Linked DNA regions of Canis lupus familiaris. The protein of the gene in region 3 interacts with the protein of the main gene of each other region in a biochemical or structural test. Links are inferred from orthologs where the notes say so. Each region holds a gene or a part of one and is shown on either strand. Other genes may lie near its edges.

Region 1 (5,686 bases), on a different chromosome or scaffold from region 3:
ATACACAAAGACAATTCATGAGGTACTTAAATTCATGGATCATACCTTCATTGATTTTTTTTCCCCACTGATTATTCAATGGAAGTGAGTGGAGACTAAGTGGTGTACATTCCTAAAAAGATGACATCATCATGGAAGGTATTTTTCACACTGAACTAAAACAATTTCCTGGAAAGCAATGTCTAAATTAGACACTGGGATGATGAGACCACTTGCCCAATCTGGAGTGAACGTAGGGGGGCTTCAGGTCACTCACTCCCAGCTTCTGGTCAACCAAAGTCAAAGCAACACTATTAAAAATGTTTAGAAACATCTGAATGTGAGATGCTGTCTTACCGAAGCTGAGAGAAAATCTTGGGGGCAGAGATCCCCCAAGTCAAAGTAAAAGACCCTGTGTTCAGGAAGGACTAACAGAATTAGGACCAAGAGAAGGATCTGCAGAATTAAACAGTATCAAAATGTCACTTCACATTTTATACTTAATGCCAGTGAACTGCTATATAGGAAATAATTTATAAGAATATAGGCTAATTAGGGATCCCTCGGTGGCTCAGCGGTTTGGCGCCTGCCTCCAAGGCATGATCCTGGAGACCCGGGATCCAGTCCCATAACGGGCTCCCTGCATGGGGCCTGCTTCTCCCTCTGCCTGTGTCTCTGCCTCTCTCTGTCTCTCTCATGAATGAATAAATAAAATCTTAAAAAAAAAAAAAAAAAAAAAGAATATAGGCTAGTTGATCCTACTTATAATATGGTTATGATATAACTTTTAACCTAATTCCCAAGAATATTTTTTAGATAAGGAAGCTTGCAATTTGTGCAGCTTCAATTTGCCTTTATTGCTTAAACTCCCCTTAACTACAAGTCCCACAGCACTGAGTTCTTTGCCCCACAAAATTTACACCCACGTTTACAGCTTTAACAATTTTTGAATAAAAGAACATTCCAAGTATATCATCAGGTATGTTTTGTTTGGGTCAAAGCAAAAAAATATTTTTGGTTTGGAAAGTCATGTATGTAACTTTTTCACTGAAGTAATGTTTGCTGTATGTTGTCCCTTATTTAAAGTAATAGAGGGGGCAACTGGCTGGCTCAGTTGGAGGAACGTGCAACTCTTGGATCTCAAGGTCCTGAGGTTGAGTCCCACATTGAGTGTAGAGATTACTTAAATAAATGAATAAATCTTTAAAAAATAAATAAACAGAGCTTGAATTGTTTACTTCTAACAGGGCTTTGCCCCAGTCTACATCAATGTCAAATACAGTACCAAATAAATCGAATGAAAACTTAAAGCCAAGAATTGTTTTATGCTTTGGACCTCCCACACAGGGCCCAACAGTGCCTCAGATTAAGAGAAAGAGCAACACTATATGAGGCTGGCTGCCTGCACTTTCTCACCTGGGGCCAGGCACCTGGGAGGCACTTAGTATTCAGCATCTTGTTTATTTTTTTTTTTAAGATTTATGTATTTATTCATTCATGAGACAGACTGAGAAAGAGAGGCAGAGACACAAGGAGAGGGAGAAGCAGGCTCTCTGCAGGGAGCCTGATCCCCGATCCCAGGATCTCGACCAGAGCTGGAGCCGGGCAGGCACCACTGAAACACCCAGGCGTCCCCCAGCAACTTGTTTAATCCTCGCCACTTCAACTTGAGGTCCCTGTCCTGGGAGAGGAGTGTGAATATGCCCAGGTTCCTCCCTAATCATTGGGAGTGGGGATTCGAAGTAAGGATCCAGATCCCACAACAGGCATTCAACAAGTATGTGACTAGATACACAAGGCAATACAAATCTTCGGGGTCCATCATCTGTAAGCATTAAGTAGGTCTGCTGTGCTTATGTTTAGTTTCAGAAATTTTCAATTAAGAATATTACATTCTAGGGCACCTGGGTGGCTCTGTCAGGTAAGTGTCTGCCTTCCTCTCAGGTCGTGATCCCAGGGTCCTGGGTTCAAGTGGCGCATCCGGCTCCCTGCTTGGCATGGAGCCTGCCTCTCTCTTTCCCTCTCCCTCTGCCACTCCCCCTGCTTGTGCTCTCTCTGTCAAATAAATAAAAATCTTAAAAAAAAAAAAAAAGAATATTACATTCTAAAGTTAGATACTGAATTATCAGCAATTTAAAAAAAACAGCATTATTTCATACTCTAAGCATTACAGATTCAGCATTTTTAAATTTTTAAAGGAAATGCAGTTAAAGTGTTCATAAGACAATGTGATATATGTGTAGTTAACTCATTACACAAAAGGATCAAATTTCATTTAAACCAATGTACTGATTTCCCTATTAAACTAATTAACTGAAGTTTTTGGACCCCAAATGAAAGAAAAGCTTTCTTTTCAAGGGTTTAAAAAACAAAAACAAAAAACATACATATTCCTAAATAGGTGAGAGTCATAATTTTTAGCTATATGCACAGAACCATGAAGTGTTAATAACGTTTCACACGTTGAAGACTGACAAATCACACAGATGGGCATCTTTTAAAAAATTAGTTCAACTGTCCTTACATCTGAAATAGTTGTAGCAACAGTTTCAAAATGTCTAATTTACAACAATCTAAATGAGCTAATTCACAACTTGGGAGGCATAAAAGCCACATCAGTCCTAATGACAAGTTTGGGGAATATTAATCAAAAGGAAGAGCGATGCCAGAACTCTTCCTTCGATTTTACAAGACTTGAAAAATGTACCAATTACACTGAGTTTGATGAAACTGATAGTAATTCTTGGATCTTCGCTGTTAACACTCAACTAACTCGAGCACTGCTGAGATACACAATTTTGCTCGGATTACACTGAGATTTTTGTTTCTATGGGAGGGGAAAAAAAAACTGCATAAGCCAAGTCTTGTCTTCCTCTAGGGCCTTGTAACCACCACAGACAGTAATGAAAAGAAATGCCTTGAGTCACAGGGCAGCTCCGCTCAGGGAGCCTGTTCTGCTACATCCCATACCTAATGCAAGCAGCGAAAGCAAATTTCTTTCTTTCTCTCTTCCTTTTTTTTTTATGACCACACCACATTCAGAGAAAAGATCAGTCTTAATCACACCTAGCTTCTCGTAGCTAGAATCCCAAAAGTTTCTCCAAGGAAAGTACAAGAATTATCACCAAAGGGAGGGAAAAATCTTAAAAGCGGCTAAGTACAAGCGGAAGATACGGGAAATCAGTTTGGGGTCGCCAAACCAGCCCAGGCAAATACTCAAGAACTATCGACCTGGTCGCCGGGACACACGGAAGCTTATAACCGGGCTCCAGAGGCTGATGTAAAAACCCAGAAAGGGTCCTTCCCCGCCCCCCCTTAGAGAAAGAAAGGCAACTCCAAGCCCACCGCTGTAGGGGCGGACGAGCGCGGGTGGCGGCGCGGCTGGGGGGTCCCGCCCCGCGCGCAGCGGGCCCAGAAGGCGGGAGGGTGGAGTTCACTTTTCCCTCCGGCCGCCGCTCGGCGACTCCCTCCCCCATCAGAAAAAAAAGAAAAAAGAAAAAAGGCAAAGAAAAAAAAAAAAAAGAGCCGGAACCAGGCCCCGTGCCTCCCAGTCCCGGAGGGAGTGAGTGGTGGCCCGCGCCCCGCGGAGAGGCCGGCTCCGGGCCCGCGAGAGCCCGCCCGGCCCGGCCCCCAGGCCCCACCCTCGGCCTCGGCCCCCGGCCCCCGGCCCCCGGCCCCCGGCCCCGGCCCGCGCACTCACCCGTCTCCCACCACCACACACTTGATGGCCTGCATCTGGGCCGCTCGCTGGGCCGCGGCGGCGGCGGGCGGGCGCTGACGCGAGAAGCGGCGGGCTCGGGGCGCCGCGGGCGGGCGCGCGGCTGCAGGCGGCAGGGCGCGGGGTGCCGGGGCCGCTGTCCACGCCGCCTCGCCTTCCGCCGACGGAAAGCCGGAGCCCAGCCGCGGCCACCACCCAAAGCTGGGGGAAAACTGCGGAGAAACAGGAAATGGCCGCTCCACTCACATCCGGTCTCCCCTCCCCCGCGCCGGCGCGCCGCTCCCAGGCTCCGGGGCGGGGCCGCTCCTGCCCGCGCGGCTCCCGGGCTTCCTGCCGGGTTCGGGGACGTTCGGGAGCGCTCGGACGCGCTCGGCTGGGGCCCGCTCGGCTCCAGAGGGTGGTAAGAGATGGGGGCGCGGGGGCGGGGGCGGGGGCGGGGGCGGGCCGGCCGCCATGTTTGTGCCACCTGGCGAAGGGCATGAGTCTAGACTTCTGTGAGAACTCTGAGGGGAGGACGAGATTCTGCCAGAAAATTCAGAACCTAAATTTCTAAGGAAGCAAATGCCACACGCTCTACCATTTTCCAAAGATAACTTCTGCTCATTGAGCCAAAAATGTTGAAATTTCTTCCCTTATGTGTGCGTTGTCCGTTTCCGGTGCGTTGAGCGTTTACTAGTTCCACGCCTTATACCAAGTTCTGGAGTTGATGTTACCAGACCATTAAAGTGCCAATATTTTGGTATTTTTTCCTCTGAGTTGTTTTTTGTTTTTAAGTAGGTCCCGTGTCCACTCTGGGGCCTAGACTCATAACCCTGAGGTCAGGAGTCACATGCTCCGCCAACTGAGCCAGCCAGGTGCCCCTCTTGGCTAGTTCTTTATGTGTGTAAAGATATGTTTTAAAGAAGGTTGGAGGGATCCCTGGGTGGCGCAGTGGTTTGGCGCCTGCCTTTGGCCCAGGGCGCGATCCTGGAGACCCGGGATCGAATCCCACGTCGGGCTCCCGGTGCATGGAGCCTGCTTCTCCCTCTGCCTGTGTCTCTGCCTCTCTCTTTCTCTCTCTCTATCATAAATATTTAAAAAAATAAAGTTGGAAAAATACCTAACCCTTAGGACATTTTTAACGGCCAATTACTGTTCACTCCCATTGTGCTCGTGGCCCTCACCCAATGTCTCTGTTATTGAGCGGCTGAGTTGTCCCTGTTTGAGAAACCATGCTGGGCTGGGCGTGTTTGTGACAAAAAATTCACAACTTGATTTCTTTAGACTATACGCCCCAAACTGGAGTTACTGGGGTAGCAGGAGTGAGCGTTTTTTAAAGCTTTGGTATTTATTGTTGCATTGCCCTCCTGCAAGGTAGTAACGGGTTCACGGTCCCATCGGCTCTGAGAATAGACTCTCCAGGGGAGTTGATTTCCAATGACATTTCCATCTCCTAGGCCTTCTTTTCCTGAAATTCACTCTGTTGCTCAGTACTGTAACAGTGTTCTGAAATCACACTTCTACACGGGTTTGGTTTGGTTTGGTTTTTAAAGCATCTTTTGCTTGCTGTTATTTCAAAACAAACATGTTCCCAGGGCAAAGGACATCTCCTTTTTGCTCTGTTCATGAAGATCTTCCTTAAGGAGAAGTTGAAACTTCAAGGATAGTAGAGCAACATCGTCCCCTTTGCTGTTAAAAATTTCCAGTAAATCTATGACAAACGAAACCACTCGGTATAATTACCTCTGTGTTTCTAGACCAGGAGCAAATAAAAGGGTGGGGCCTTCGGTCAATAATTCAATTGAACAAACATTTGAGTGCTGCTGTTGCGTAATGGACTGATAGTAAATGAACCAGATAAGGATATAGTTGCCAGGATACCAGGCTCACTGTTCTTAGTGCTGTGAGTGGGGTACAAATATAGTGCTAATCAGGGAGCAAGAAGTCTACTCACACTGATTTAAAAAGGCTTTCATCAAGCAGATGAGAATGGAAACATGCCACTGAGTA
Region 2 (5,982 bases), on a different chromosome or scaffold from region 3:
TAAAAATTTTAGCATCGAATATATAAAAGGTAGTTTAAACACAGAATTTTTAGGTGGAAAATAAATATTTAAAAAATTTTAAGGAAAACTTCTATTTGGAATCAGGCATGGTTAAGATGTCTCTCCTATTCTCCCATTTGACACTGCTGTTTGTCTCCTTTCAATATTCCAGAACATCCATTGTTAGATGGTCTAAACCAGGTTGACGCATGGCATGTAAATTCCTGGCTTGTATTGAAATAATTTCCATCAAATGATTCTTTGACATATATTTTTTAAATTGTAAAATGTTATTTTTAAAAATATTTTTTAATAATAAATTTATTTTTTATTGGTGTTCGATTTATCAACATACAGAATAACACCCAGTGCTCATCCCATCAAGTGCTCCCCTCAGTGCCCGTCACCCTAAAATATATTCCAACAGTACAAATAGGAAAAAAACTTCCCAGTGTTTTTATATGAATAGATGGTGTGGTTTGGGATAAAAATTTTAGTAATAGTATTATATATTGATTCAAAAAGTGCTTGTATAATCTGTCTCATTTGTGTGAGGATTTTTAAAGAAATTCTATGTTCTATGAAAATCAAAAAATATTTCAATATTTTATAGATCATGTGTTTTTAGTATTTAAGTATACTAATGTTATAAATACATACTTGATTACCTTATATATTCAAATGATAAAGATTATTTTTAAATATTCTCGACAAAATAGGATACTTTATATATGGAGTTGCCTTATACTTGGACGTACTCAGTTTATGACCTTGATGCACATACTAGAAAAGAAAACAAATTGGGAATTACCTAAAGTTTTAATTTTAGGGATTAGAAAATGAGCCACAGAGTAAAGCCAACTAACGAAATGAAAAGTGATGAGGAAAGAGAAATTAACAAAAAAAGAACAAAAAAGAAACAGAAGATCAACGAAACTAAAAGCTGGCTTTTAAACCAATAAACTGGGGATCCCTGGGTGGCTCAGCAGTTTAGTGCCTGCCTTCTGCCCAGAACGCCGCGTGATCCTGGAGTCCCGGGATCGAGTCCCACATCGGGCTCCCCGCATGGAGCCTGCTTCTCCCTCTGCCTGTGTCTCTGCCTCTCTCTCAGTCTGTCTCTCATGAATAAATAAATAAAATCTTAAAAAAAATAAACTAAGCAAACTTCTGGCAAGATTAACAAGCAAAAGAGAAGGTAACATTTAATAGTATTAGGAATGAAGAGAGGATCATAACTGCTAATAGATATAAAAAAAATCACGAGGGAATACTATGATAACTTTCTAGAAATATGCACCAAGACTTGTAGAAAATTAGATTTGGGTAGAGATTTAAATGTTTCAGCCATGTTACATCTGAAATAATGTAGACATTGAGTAAGGCAAGTTAACCAAGCAAGTTCAGATACAGATTTGGGAATTACTAACTTATAAATGATGTGAAAAGCAGGTCAGTTTTGAGGATGTTTTAAGACCTGAAGTGATAAGGATCTGAACTAAGGCAGTAGCGGGATGAAAAGAGGATATAGAATGAAAAGATTAGGTCTGAAGTACATTTAGGTTTCTGAAAGTAGGTGACTGTGTGGAGGAAGTATTAACATTTCCTAGGTAAGAGTTAGGGAAGTGAATTTCATAGTTGAATTATTAGATAAAAACTATCTCAGATAGAAGTTCCTTTTAAAGAGAGGTTTATTGACACATAATTGAGCAAAATTTAGGGAAACGACCTTTGATGTTTATTTTTTTTATATTTTATTTAAAGTTAATTTGCCAACATAGAGTATAACAACTCATCTCATCATGTACCCTCCTTAATGCCCATCACCCAGTTACCCCATCCCTCCACCGACCTCTCCTTCTGCAATGGCTTGCTTGTTTCCCAGAATTCGGAGTCTCTCATAATTTGTCTTTTTTTTTTTTTTTTTTTGACTTGGAAAATTTTCGGGTTTATTGTAGCATATTAAGAAAGCAATTGATACTGTAGTTTTAAAACAAAATTGTGTATTGATTTAGTTGATGCTGCTATAATGGATGAATTTTCTTGGCAGAGATAGTATCAATGGAAGCTGATTTTCAAATAATAATTGAATATACCTCCCTGAAGGTTTTCAAATTGGAATAATATATCATTTTTTTTCTGGACAACTAATAATGATTAAAAATGTTAGATCTTTTGGTTGGTTGGTTAGATGTTTTTAAGAACATTTACCCTAAAACAGTATAGCATGACGGTTTTCTTGGATTAGGATTCACTTCTTTTGCTTTACAGGGAGAAGATAAAGTTTAACATTGGTCTCAAAGACAACTAAATTTCAGTAAAGGCCACCAACTTGCTGGTGAGTAATATGCAGACTGCTAGTATGTAGTCTGTGGCTGTTTAATACACCATAGATAAACTACTCAGTATATTTTTACTGAGATTTTTAAACTTTCAAGAAGAAAATAATTTTCTTTAAAAAGTTATCTTTTTAGAGTTTACGTTATAATTTCCTTTGTCTTTGGCAGTGCAAAAAAAAGAAAGGTTGAAAGTGTTCTTGAGTTCATCTCTTTAGAATTTGAATCTATATCTTCCACTTTACTATCCCTCTGTCTCCTAGGCTGGGTGTAGAGGTGAACTGGACGCAGCCAGAGACAGCATTTAGGTCCTTAGTGGTCTTGCTTCCCTGCTATGCATGGTCTCTGAGTAAATCAAAACTTTCGGTTGGTGATCAGTATGCATTAGATTATGTTGTTTGATATGTGTGCTATTTTAAATCACAGCTGATATGTGTGCTATTTTAAATCACAGCTATAAATATTTTTAGAGAAGGTGAAATGATAGTAAAAGAACATTGAAGATTGGAGTAAGAGAATTCTGTTACTTTATTTTAATTTTTTTTTTAGAGAGCTTTGTGTTAAACTCAGTTTAAAGTGTTTTTTTTATTCTATATAAATTACATTAAAATCAAGACATTATACAAAAGTAATAGATCCATTATGCTTTTTTTTTCTTTAACTGAAGGTGACATCAGAATTCATAAAAGTCAATTTTTAAAGAAGGTGACAAAAAGAGAAGGAAAATGCCGAAACCAGTAAGTGTATTTTACTTTTACCACTTCTTAATAAAATATCAGGAGCATTAAATTTCTTTTGGAACAAGGCAAAATGTTATGGTAGAGTCATTGGGAAGAAAAAGACACTGATAACTGCTGTTGCTTGTTCTTGATTAATGTAGCTTCAGCAAACTACTATGTAAGCCAGTAGAGAAGAGGTATAGCTTACATTGCAGTTAAGATGAAAATTCATGGGTTCTGGACCCAAACTGTCTCAGTCCATATCCTGGCTCTGCTGCTTACCCTCTGTGACTTCAGTTAGGTTACTTTAGACTCTCCAATTCTTAATTTCTTTCTATAAAAAGTAGAGATGTAATTAGTTGCTTACTTAGAGGGGTTTGGTGAGAGTTAGAAGAACTCGGTACACATTCAGTGCTTAGTAAATAGTAACTTCTTGTTAGATGGGAGGAATTAATGAAAAGTTGGAAGGATCCATGCATTAATTTTCTCATAATTCTAGCTTTGATTCTACTGCTACCAATGCTCATATAGTTTTCTATTTTTTTAAATTTTAGGGTGTATATATGATTTTACTTAGTTTTATAATTATATAGTTCTTGACGTTTATTTTTCTTCTCTTGGCATAAATGTTTTTACTTCATCTAACAAAATTGGGATTTTTTTTCAATATTTCTTTTGGCCAATTACCTTTTTAAGCAAATCATTGGTTAATAGCTATTGGAGGTTTCTGGCTGGCATGAATATCTCTTTGGAATTACTTTAAGGACTCAACAGGTAGGTAACAAAGTATGAATTTGCATTGTTGGAAGGAGAGAAGAATAAGAAGAAATAAAAGGCATTAACATCAGACAGGAAGAAGTAAATTTTCCTGTTTGCAGATGACATGATTGTTTATGCAGAAAATCTTCAAGAATCTAGAAACAGCTACTAGAACTATAACTGATTTAGCGAGATTGTTGGACCCAAGGTTATATTTTTTAAAATCCATGACCTTTCTTATATACTAGTAGCAAAATTTGAAAAATAAAGTAAAAATGTCTATTTGTAACAGCATCAAAGATATAAAATACTTAGGAATAAATTTACAGAAGCTATATAAAATCTCTACACTGAAAACTTGTGAGAAATTCAAGACCTAAATATATGGGATAATATTCTGTAATGTTAATAGATATGTCTAGAAAATATTAAGGTGTCACTCCTACACAAATGTAATGGTAGATTGAATGCAATTACTAGCAGTTTCTTTGGCTAACATGGATGAGCTGATTGTAAAATGTCTATAGAACTTCCAGAATTTGGGATCCCTGGGTGGCGCAGCGGTTTGGCGCTTGCCTTTGGCTCAGGGCGCGATCCTGGAGACCCGGGATCGAATCCCACATCGGGCTTCCGGTTCATGGAGCCTGCTTTTCTCTCTGCCTGTGTCTCTGCCTCTCTCTCTCTCTCTCTCTCTCTGTGTGACTATCATAAATAAATTAAAAAAAAAAAAAAAAAAGAACTTCCAGAATTTATATGGCATAGCTAAAGCAATTTTTATAAAGAAGAAAGTTGGAACACTTTCTTCTTTGAAAGTGTGAAGTGTGAAGAAAGTTCACACTTCTGGATTTTAAGACTTCTTCGTAAGCTAGAAGAATAAGACAATGTGGTATTGGTGAAAGGACAGATAAAATAGAATTGGTGGAACAAAAATATAACTACACATATGCATTCATTAGATTTTTGACAAGATTTTCACACAATTCAATGGGGAAATAAAGTTCTTTCTAACATATAGTGTTGGAACAAAGGGTTATCCGTAGAGAAGAACATGAATATTGACACTTATCTCACAATTTACACACAAAATTAACTTTAAGTGGAGCATAGAATAAATACAAAAGCCCAAAATATAAAATTGCTAGAAAACATAAGAAAACATTTGTGACACTGGGATAGGCAGTTTCTTAGATAACATATAGAAAGTTTGAACTATTAAAAAAAAAACACATTGGATTTTATCAGAATTAAAAACTTTTGTTCTTGAAAGACAGCAATAAAAAAATGAAAAGATAAAACAGAATGGGAGAAAGTAATTGCAAGATAAAGTTCTTCTGGAACACAGTAAGATAACCCAATTTTTTAAAAATGGGCAAAAACTTTTAACAGATACTTCAAAAAACGTATTAATAACTAGCAGACACATGAAAAGATCCTCTATATCTTTCATTACAGAGAAACAAAACTACAATGAGTTGCCATTTTATAGTCACCTTAAGGGCTAAAATTAAAAGATTGATAATATCAAGTGTTGGTAAGGATGAGAAGCAACCAGAACTGTTGATATTTCTGATAGGAACATGAAACTTTACAATTACTTTGGAAAACTTACTATAATCAAGTGTAAAACATTTATTATTCCTTACAGTAAGGATTCAAAATTGTATATGCAGTTGGATATAAATTATATATTATTAACTAATAAAATTCTGGAAGAAAACATGTTGTTAATAGTAATATACTTTTATCTTGTAAATTTCTTAGGTCAGGATATAATTAGCCCCCCCTTACCTGCCCCTCTGCAAAAGAGAAAAGAGTCTGATTTTTCAAAACAGAAAGCTTGGAGAAATTTGATTTCCATGTTTTGTTTATTTTTCACTGATCCTATTGGCTCAGCTTCATACTTACTAGATATGTAATCTTGGTCAAGTTTTTAAGTTATAACGTAAAGGTGATTTAATAAGTGCTTTGATTACCCTTAATATATCAGGGTATTATTATTGCTAGGAAGAAATGAAAAAGCTCTAAAAGTTGTATTATAGTGCTTTTTTATTAAAAATTATAAGTAATATTTGTATTTTTATTTATGTTAATATCTAATAAGGTTATTGTATTTAAATGAATTACTATTTTAAGTTTCTCAGTTTTAATTTCTAATGTGGTAAATGTAGATA
Region 3 (5,876 bases):
GGATGGCCTGCCGGGGATGGTGGCACCGAGCCTGGGGGCAGAGGTGGCAGGCCAGGGGGCCCAGAGGACGGCACATATGGAGGCAATAAATACTGACCGACCAGGCACACGACACCAGGCCGGCAGGCCCGGGTGGGACAAGTAAGGCTCGGCCGCTGGCTCTGTCCGACGAGGGCTGTGTGCTGGGGCCCCGGGCTCCTGCACCACCCCCTGGGACAGAGAAGGCAGAGGCGTGAGGACACCTGGCCTCCCACATGGGAATGGAGGCAACTTCAGTTTTGGCAATTTGGCTTTCCCCAAGCCCCTGGAGCCACCCCCACTGCCCTGGCCAGGGGAGGGGGCTGGCTAGGCCCTGGTGGGCAGGGGAGCAGCAGCAGCACATCCCACACACCTCCCCGGGCCACGGGGATTGCGGAGGGGGCAAGGACCGGGGGAGACCACATGCTCATGCAGACACGGGGGGGTTAGAGGTTAGTGACGGCCCCCACAGCACACGTTCCACATGTTAAGGCATCATGGTTAGACGGTTATGGACAGCGATGGATGAACTGACTGGGGACAGGTGAAAGCAGGAGGGTGGCTGGCCCCCAAAAGGCCTCGAATCATGCACCCCACCCCACCCCCACCCCGGAAGAAGAGAAAGAACAGGATTCAGGGCTACTGCGAAGGCCCACAGGGACCCGAGCACCCCCACGAGATTCCCTCGGAAAAGCCAGGGCCTCAGGTCAGGTGAGGACAGGTGGGGGAACATGAAGGGGTACGGAAGGGGAGGTGGGGGCCTGGCCTGGAGGCTCCCTCCCCCCTCCCCCCCCCAGCACAGGCAGAAGCAGCAAGGCGAGACCACCGAGGAGGCTGGGGCCTGCGGGGTGGGGCCGGGAGGGATGGGAAGGGTAGGCCAGGGAGAGCAGACCCGTCAGCACTTTGGTAAGGGGTTGGGATGGGGTGGGGGCAGTAGGGGTGGGGCGTGTCAGACAGGTCCGTCTGTCTGTCCGAAGGCCTGCCCGCCTCCCAGGCCAGGGCTCAGTCCTTCCATTCCTTTTTGATGGTAAGGTTCCACTCCCAGGACAGGTGGTCAGTCTTGTCGTCGTCTGTGAAGCGGGACTTGATGTTGTAGCTGCCGCGAGCCAACATACCCTTGGGTGCCTCCTCCATGGGGGTCAGAAACTCGTACTCCTCTGCCCGGGGCCCGTAGCTCCCCACCATGTAGTCGGTCTTGTCAACTGTGTGCAGGAGACACACTGGTCACCGGTGCTCCCGATCCCACCAGGGCTAAGGGCACACACCACCATCTTCCTCTCCCTCCTGGTCCCAGAGCCCTGGGCGGCCACCTCCACCCTGCCCCCTCCCACAGGCCACCTAAGTGGTGCCACGCCATCTCGGGGGCAGGGCCAACCCCCGACTCACTCTTGACGCCTTTCCTGTACGTGTGCTGGATGTACTTCATGCCCGACACAATCTCCCGGTTCACCTGCAGGGGGAGAACCCAGGCAGAGCTCGGTGGGGCCCTCCAGGCCCGACACCTCCCAGCTCCTCCCACAGCCTCTGCCTTACTCGGAAAGAGATCTTTATCCGGTACTCCACGCCCTCCTTCAGCACAAAGGACTGCTTCTTGAAGCTCTCCAGGTCCCCTGTGCCCAAGAAGATTGCACTAAAAGGCTCAGCTGCAGGAAGCTGCCCACCTCAGCATCTCCCATCTGCAGCGCCTGGCGCTCCTTCGGCCCCCACCCTGACCCCACCCGCCGCCCAGGTCCCTCCAAAGCCAGAGCCTGCAGACTTCCTGGTTGCGCTTCTCGCGCCCCCCACAAGGGGGCACCCGCGTTCCGAGAACTAGTTTCAGCGGAAACAGCAGGGTGGCAGGCGGGAGGACCTCAGTGATGCCACTCACCTGTCAGGTCCAGCTCCAGGGGGCCCGGGGCTGTGCTACACACCAGGGTCAGGCGGGTCACAACAACATTGGGGACGTTGGGGTCTGCGGAGGGAGAGTGGGTTGGAGTGCCTCCCCACCTCCCACTTGCTGGAGGCTGGGGGGTGGGGCTGGCGGCTGAAACCCAGAAGTGACAAGCATCCCTTTTGGTGCTGCCTCAGCCCACTTACCAGCAGACACGGCTACGCGGCCCAACAGGGCCTCCTTGTACTTGCGCAGGCTCTCGTCATCCTTGTCCAGCTCCTGGATCTCCTGGATGCTCTTCTGGGCAGGGGGCTTGTAGTTGACAGAGTGCTCATCCTCCTCGTTCTCAGCTGCGATCTGCGCGAGCTGCTCAGCTGTGGGCTCTTGCTCAGCCATGCTCACTCCTAGCTGGTCTGGGACACCTGTGGGCAGGGACAGGGCTGTGTCAGCCTGAAGGGACGCACATCTCCCTCTCCTGCCTCTCAGCAAGCCCCCCCGCTGGTGCAGGTGCGCTGTACTGAAGGGCCCTCTGCAGGTAACCCGGCCCCTTGTCTGGGCACAAGGGGATGTAAGCCTTCGGGAGGAAAGCAACTGCAGACTCAGCTTCACCCCCCAAACAGGCTCCTAAGGCCCAGAGAGGGCCACACTCCTTGCCCTGCCCACCTCGGGGACCTGCTGGAAACTGGGACAGAGCACCCAGAACCAAGTGGGGCCTGCAACCCGCTCCTTGAAAAGACCAGGCATCCCTCTCCCAAGCCTGGGGGAGAAGACAGCACTCCCAGCCCCGACAGGGAGGGGTCACCTCTGAAGTCCTGAGATTCTTCTGCAGCTGCCCAGACTCTCTCCCCAAGCGACACCTCCTCCTGGGTCTCCCTGACCAAACACACTCCCTGGGCCCGGTTCTAACAGGGAAGCAAGTCCCCACAGCGCAGCTCTGGTGACCCGGCCAGCCCGAGTCCCACAGGTGGGTCCCGGCCCCTCACCAGGAGCCCTAAGTACCCGCCAACCTCTTCTCCAACGGCCAGGGTACGTGAGCCACGATTTGGGAAGCGCGGCAGTGCCCACATGGTCTCAAGATCCTCCTCCGGGATCCTGGCCCCGGGCGGCTCGGACAGCGTGCCCCGGGACACGGAAGCCCGCTCGGGTCCTCCGGGCGGCGCGGGAGGTGGGCCGGGGCCCTGGCCCCCTAGACCTCGGCCTGCCCGTCCCCACGGACCGGCGGGCCGCCTGGGGTCGCCTGGGGCGGCCCGAGCCCCACAAAGGACCGCCGCCGGCGGGGTGGGGCCAGCCGCTGTTCCAGGCCTCCCGGCCGCTTCCTCTGGAATTCCTCTAGAAGGCTCACGCCCTGACGCCACCCAAGTGTGGCCGCGGGGGACAGGATCCTCCGAGAGCGATGGCCGCGGCCCACACTTCCTTCCGCAGCGCTCCGCAATCTGGGCGGGCGGGCGCGCCGCGCGGGGAGGGGTGCTCGGGACCACGCCGCCGTGAGGGCGCCGCGCCCGCCATCCCCGGGGAGGGGGCGCCGGCCAGTCTGCCGGCGAGCAGCGGCGCGGACGGGGGCGCCGCGGGACACGGGCGGTGGCCCCCGAGGAGGCCCGCGCCCACCCCGGCGAGCGGCGCGAACAAAGGCGCGGCACCCCCGGCCCCGCGGCGCCCGCCCTCCCGGTCCCGCCCCGCCCCGCCTCGCCCTGCCCGCCGCCGCCGCCGCCGCCGCTCACCGGAGGCTCGACCGCGCCGCTCTCGCGCTCCCTCCCGCACGGAATGACGAACGTCGCCGCCCCGCCCGCGCGCGCCCGGCCGGCCACTTCCGGGGTCACGCGACTTCCGCTCGCGCCGGGCGGACGGCGGAGGGCGGACGGCGCATGCGCGCGCACGGGCCGCCGGGAGCGCGCCGCCGCCATCTTGTGGAGCCGGCCTCCGTGGGCGCGTCCGCGGGGGCGGGGCCGGGGCCGCTCGCGGGGCGCCGGGTGCTCTCCGGTGCGGGGCGTCCCCGGGTCCCGGCGCGGCGGAGGGGGGTCCGGCCCCGAGGCGCTCCTCGCAGCCTAATCCGGAAGCTCCCGGTGCGGCCGGCCCGGTCGCTTCCGCCCGCCCTTCCCCGAGGCCGGCAGGTGTCCGAATGAGCCGCGCGCGCCGCCGAGCCCCGGCAGGTGCCGCCCCCCCCCCCCGCGCCCCGCCCTCGGCCCGGCGCTCGGCCCCGCGCGGCACCTGTGCGGAGGGAACTGAAGGCAAGCTACGAACCTGGCTACCGGTTTGGAGATATTTTTTAGTACCGGGGGAATATGTGCAGATTTTGCGTGACGTAGGAGCCGCGCGCCGGCTGTGTGTGCAGAGCCTCGGCTGTGTGTGCAGAGCCTCGTGGTGAGCGCCTCGGTGTGCTGCTCTCCCGCTTCCCCTGTGCAAGCCCGCACCCGGCCCGCCGCCCTACACGCCCAGCGGCTGGGAGAGGAAAAGGTCGGCTTGCAGATCACCCAAGTGCTTTTGAAAAACAAAACAAAAAGTAAAAAAAACCAGCTGTAGGAAAATTCAAACACATTTTATACGTGATCTATTACAGTGTAAAAACGTTCCCATGGTATTTAGCAGCTTGACACAGCAGTTCTACGGCTGAGATCAGGGAGCTGCTTGGCAGGCGGCCCTGGCTCCTGGTCTGTGAGGTCGCAGGCCAGCCGCCAGCCAGAGCCCCGGTCCCTAGGCTCTTGCAGATGCTATGAACAGGAGTCTGGTTCCTCCTGCGCTGGAGGACTCAGTGCCACCTGGCACTCCCAACCTCTCCAGAGGGCTGCCCACAGCAAGGTAGCTGACTTGTCCCAGGTGAGGCCTCAGAGGCGGACAGATGGACCATGGACAGAGGACAAGAGCCGGGAAACAGCAAGCACTGGAGGCGAAGCTGCACTGGCTCTTAGAAGCTGAATCTCAGAAGCAAGGTCCCTGGTGCTCTGCTCACACAGACCTGCCCCAGGACAGTGTAGGAGGGGCCACGGGGTGAGAAGACGGGCCGGCCAGGCCGTCGGGCCCTGTCTTGCAGGTGCCCCACCACATGCACCAAAGTCCAAAGAAGAGTACTGTGAACCCGGTGGGCTTGGCAGCTAGCTTCAGCAGTTAGCAGCCTGCGGCCTTTCTTCCACCTGTGCCCTCCCTCCTCCCCCACACACAGCAGGTTTGAAGCAAACCTCAGAGGTGACGGCGACCATAAATCTTCTAGCATGTGTTTATTTCAGAGGAAGGGGATCCCTTCTGGCCACCGCACCCTTATCCACCTGTTGCAGGATCTACCGCCGGGTAAGGAACAGCTCAGTGGACTGGCTCGGAGCAGCAACCTGCAGCTGCCTCTGCTGTTCTGTGGGCTGCTCGAGCATAGCCGGAGCTCTCCTGCCGTTGCCGTCAGGTCAGGTCCATGCTGGAGCCCCCCCCCACTCCGGGCCAGCGCTCAGCCGAGGCTGCCAGCCCCAGGCCCTTCCACACAACTCCTGTGGGGTTTTGGCAGCTGGATTCCAAGGGCAGGTGTTCTGAGAGGCCTGCTCACAAGTCTCGGTGGGAACCCACTGGTCAGTGCCAGAAACCAAACTTTGGCAGCTTTTCACTAGTCAAGCCCAAGACATGAGTCCTCCTGGGTGAAGGGCAGGACATTAGATTCCACCTCTTTCAAGGAAGAAAAGCAATCACCGTGTGGCCTCCTGATCCAACCAAATGACTCGCATTCCTCTCCTATAAACATGTGGCCTCCCAAGACCCCCAGAAGTCTCATCCCCTTTTGACTTCAGCTCAGGTGCAGGGGAGAGTGGCGCTGGGGTGCGGCTTCTCTTAATCTGAAAATTGAGGCCCAAGAACCGGAAGCCCTGCCCCACATCACCAGATAAACCATCCCATCTCCCTCCCTGACCTACACAATCTGGGAGTGTGATATAAAATGGTGTTGGTTTTGCACTAAGTTTTGGGTAATTTCTTATAAAGCAACTGACACTGGAACACCAACCAGGAAAAAGAACAA

What was found.
Region 1: the proteins of ARHGDIA (region 3) and RAC1 are reported together in a solved structure, tested with the Homo sapiens proteins (2 studies listed by BioGRID and IntAct, with this or other methods). The link is inferred for Canis lupus familiaris from reciprocal best matches to the Homo sapiens genes ARHGDIA and RAC1.
Region 2: the proteins of ARHGDIA (region 3) and RDX form a complex in vitro, tested with the Homo sapiens proteins (2 studies listed by BioGRID and IntAct). The link is inferred for Canis lupus familiaris from reciprocal best matches to the Homo sapiens genes ARHGDIA and RDX.

The regions. Positions count from the first base shown.
Region 1 is NC_049227.1:11,815,103-11,820,788, reverse strand, and holds the start of RAC1 (ras-related C3 botulinum toxin substrate 1 precursor), read right to left. Parts: upstream 3,715-5,686; coding exon 3,680-3,714; intron 1-3,679. UniProt on the Homo sapiens protein: Plasma membrane-associated small GTPase which cycles between active GTP-bound and inactive GDP-bound states.
Region 2 is NC_049226.1:22,603,205-22,609,186, forward strand, and holds the start of RDX (radixin), read left to right. Parts: upstream 1-2,268; 5' UTR 2,269-2,335; intron 2,336-3,000; 5' UTR 3,001-3,058; coding exon 3,059-3,070; intron 3,071-5,982. UniProt on the Homo sapiens protein: Probably plays a crucial role in the binding of the barbed end of actin filaments to the plasma membrane.
Region 3 is NC_049230.1:1,241,229-1,247,104, reverse strand, and holds ARHGDIA (rho GDP-dissociation inhibitor 1), read right to left. Parts: upstream 3,736-5,876; 5' UTR 3,607-3,735; intron 3,034-3,606; exon of another isoform or gene 2,896-3,033; intron 2,311-2,895; 5' UTR 2,285-2,310; coding exon 2,095-2,284; intron 1,970-2,094; coding exon 1,886-1,969; intron 1,629-1,885; coding exon 1,552-1,628; intron 1,469-1,551; coding exon 1,405-1,468; intron 1,221-1,404; coding exon 1,021-1,220; 3' UTR 850-1,020; downstream 1-849. UniProt on the Homo sapiens protein: Controls Rho proteins homeostasis. Regulates the GDP/GTP exchange reaction of the Rho proteins by inhibiting the dissociation of GDP from them, and the subsequent binding of GTP to them.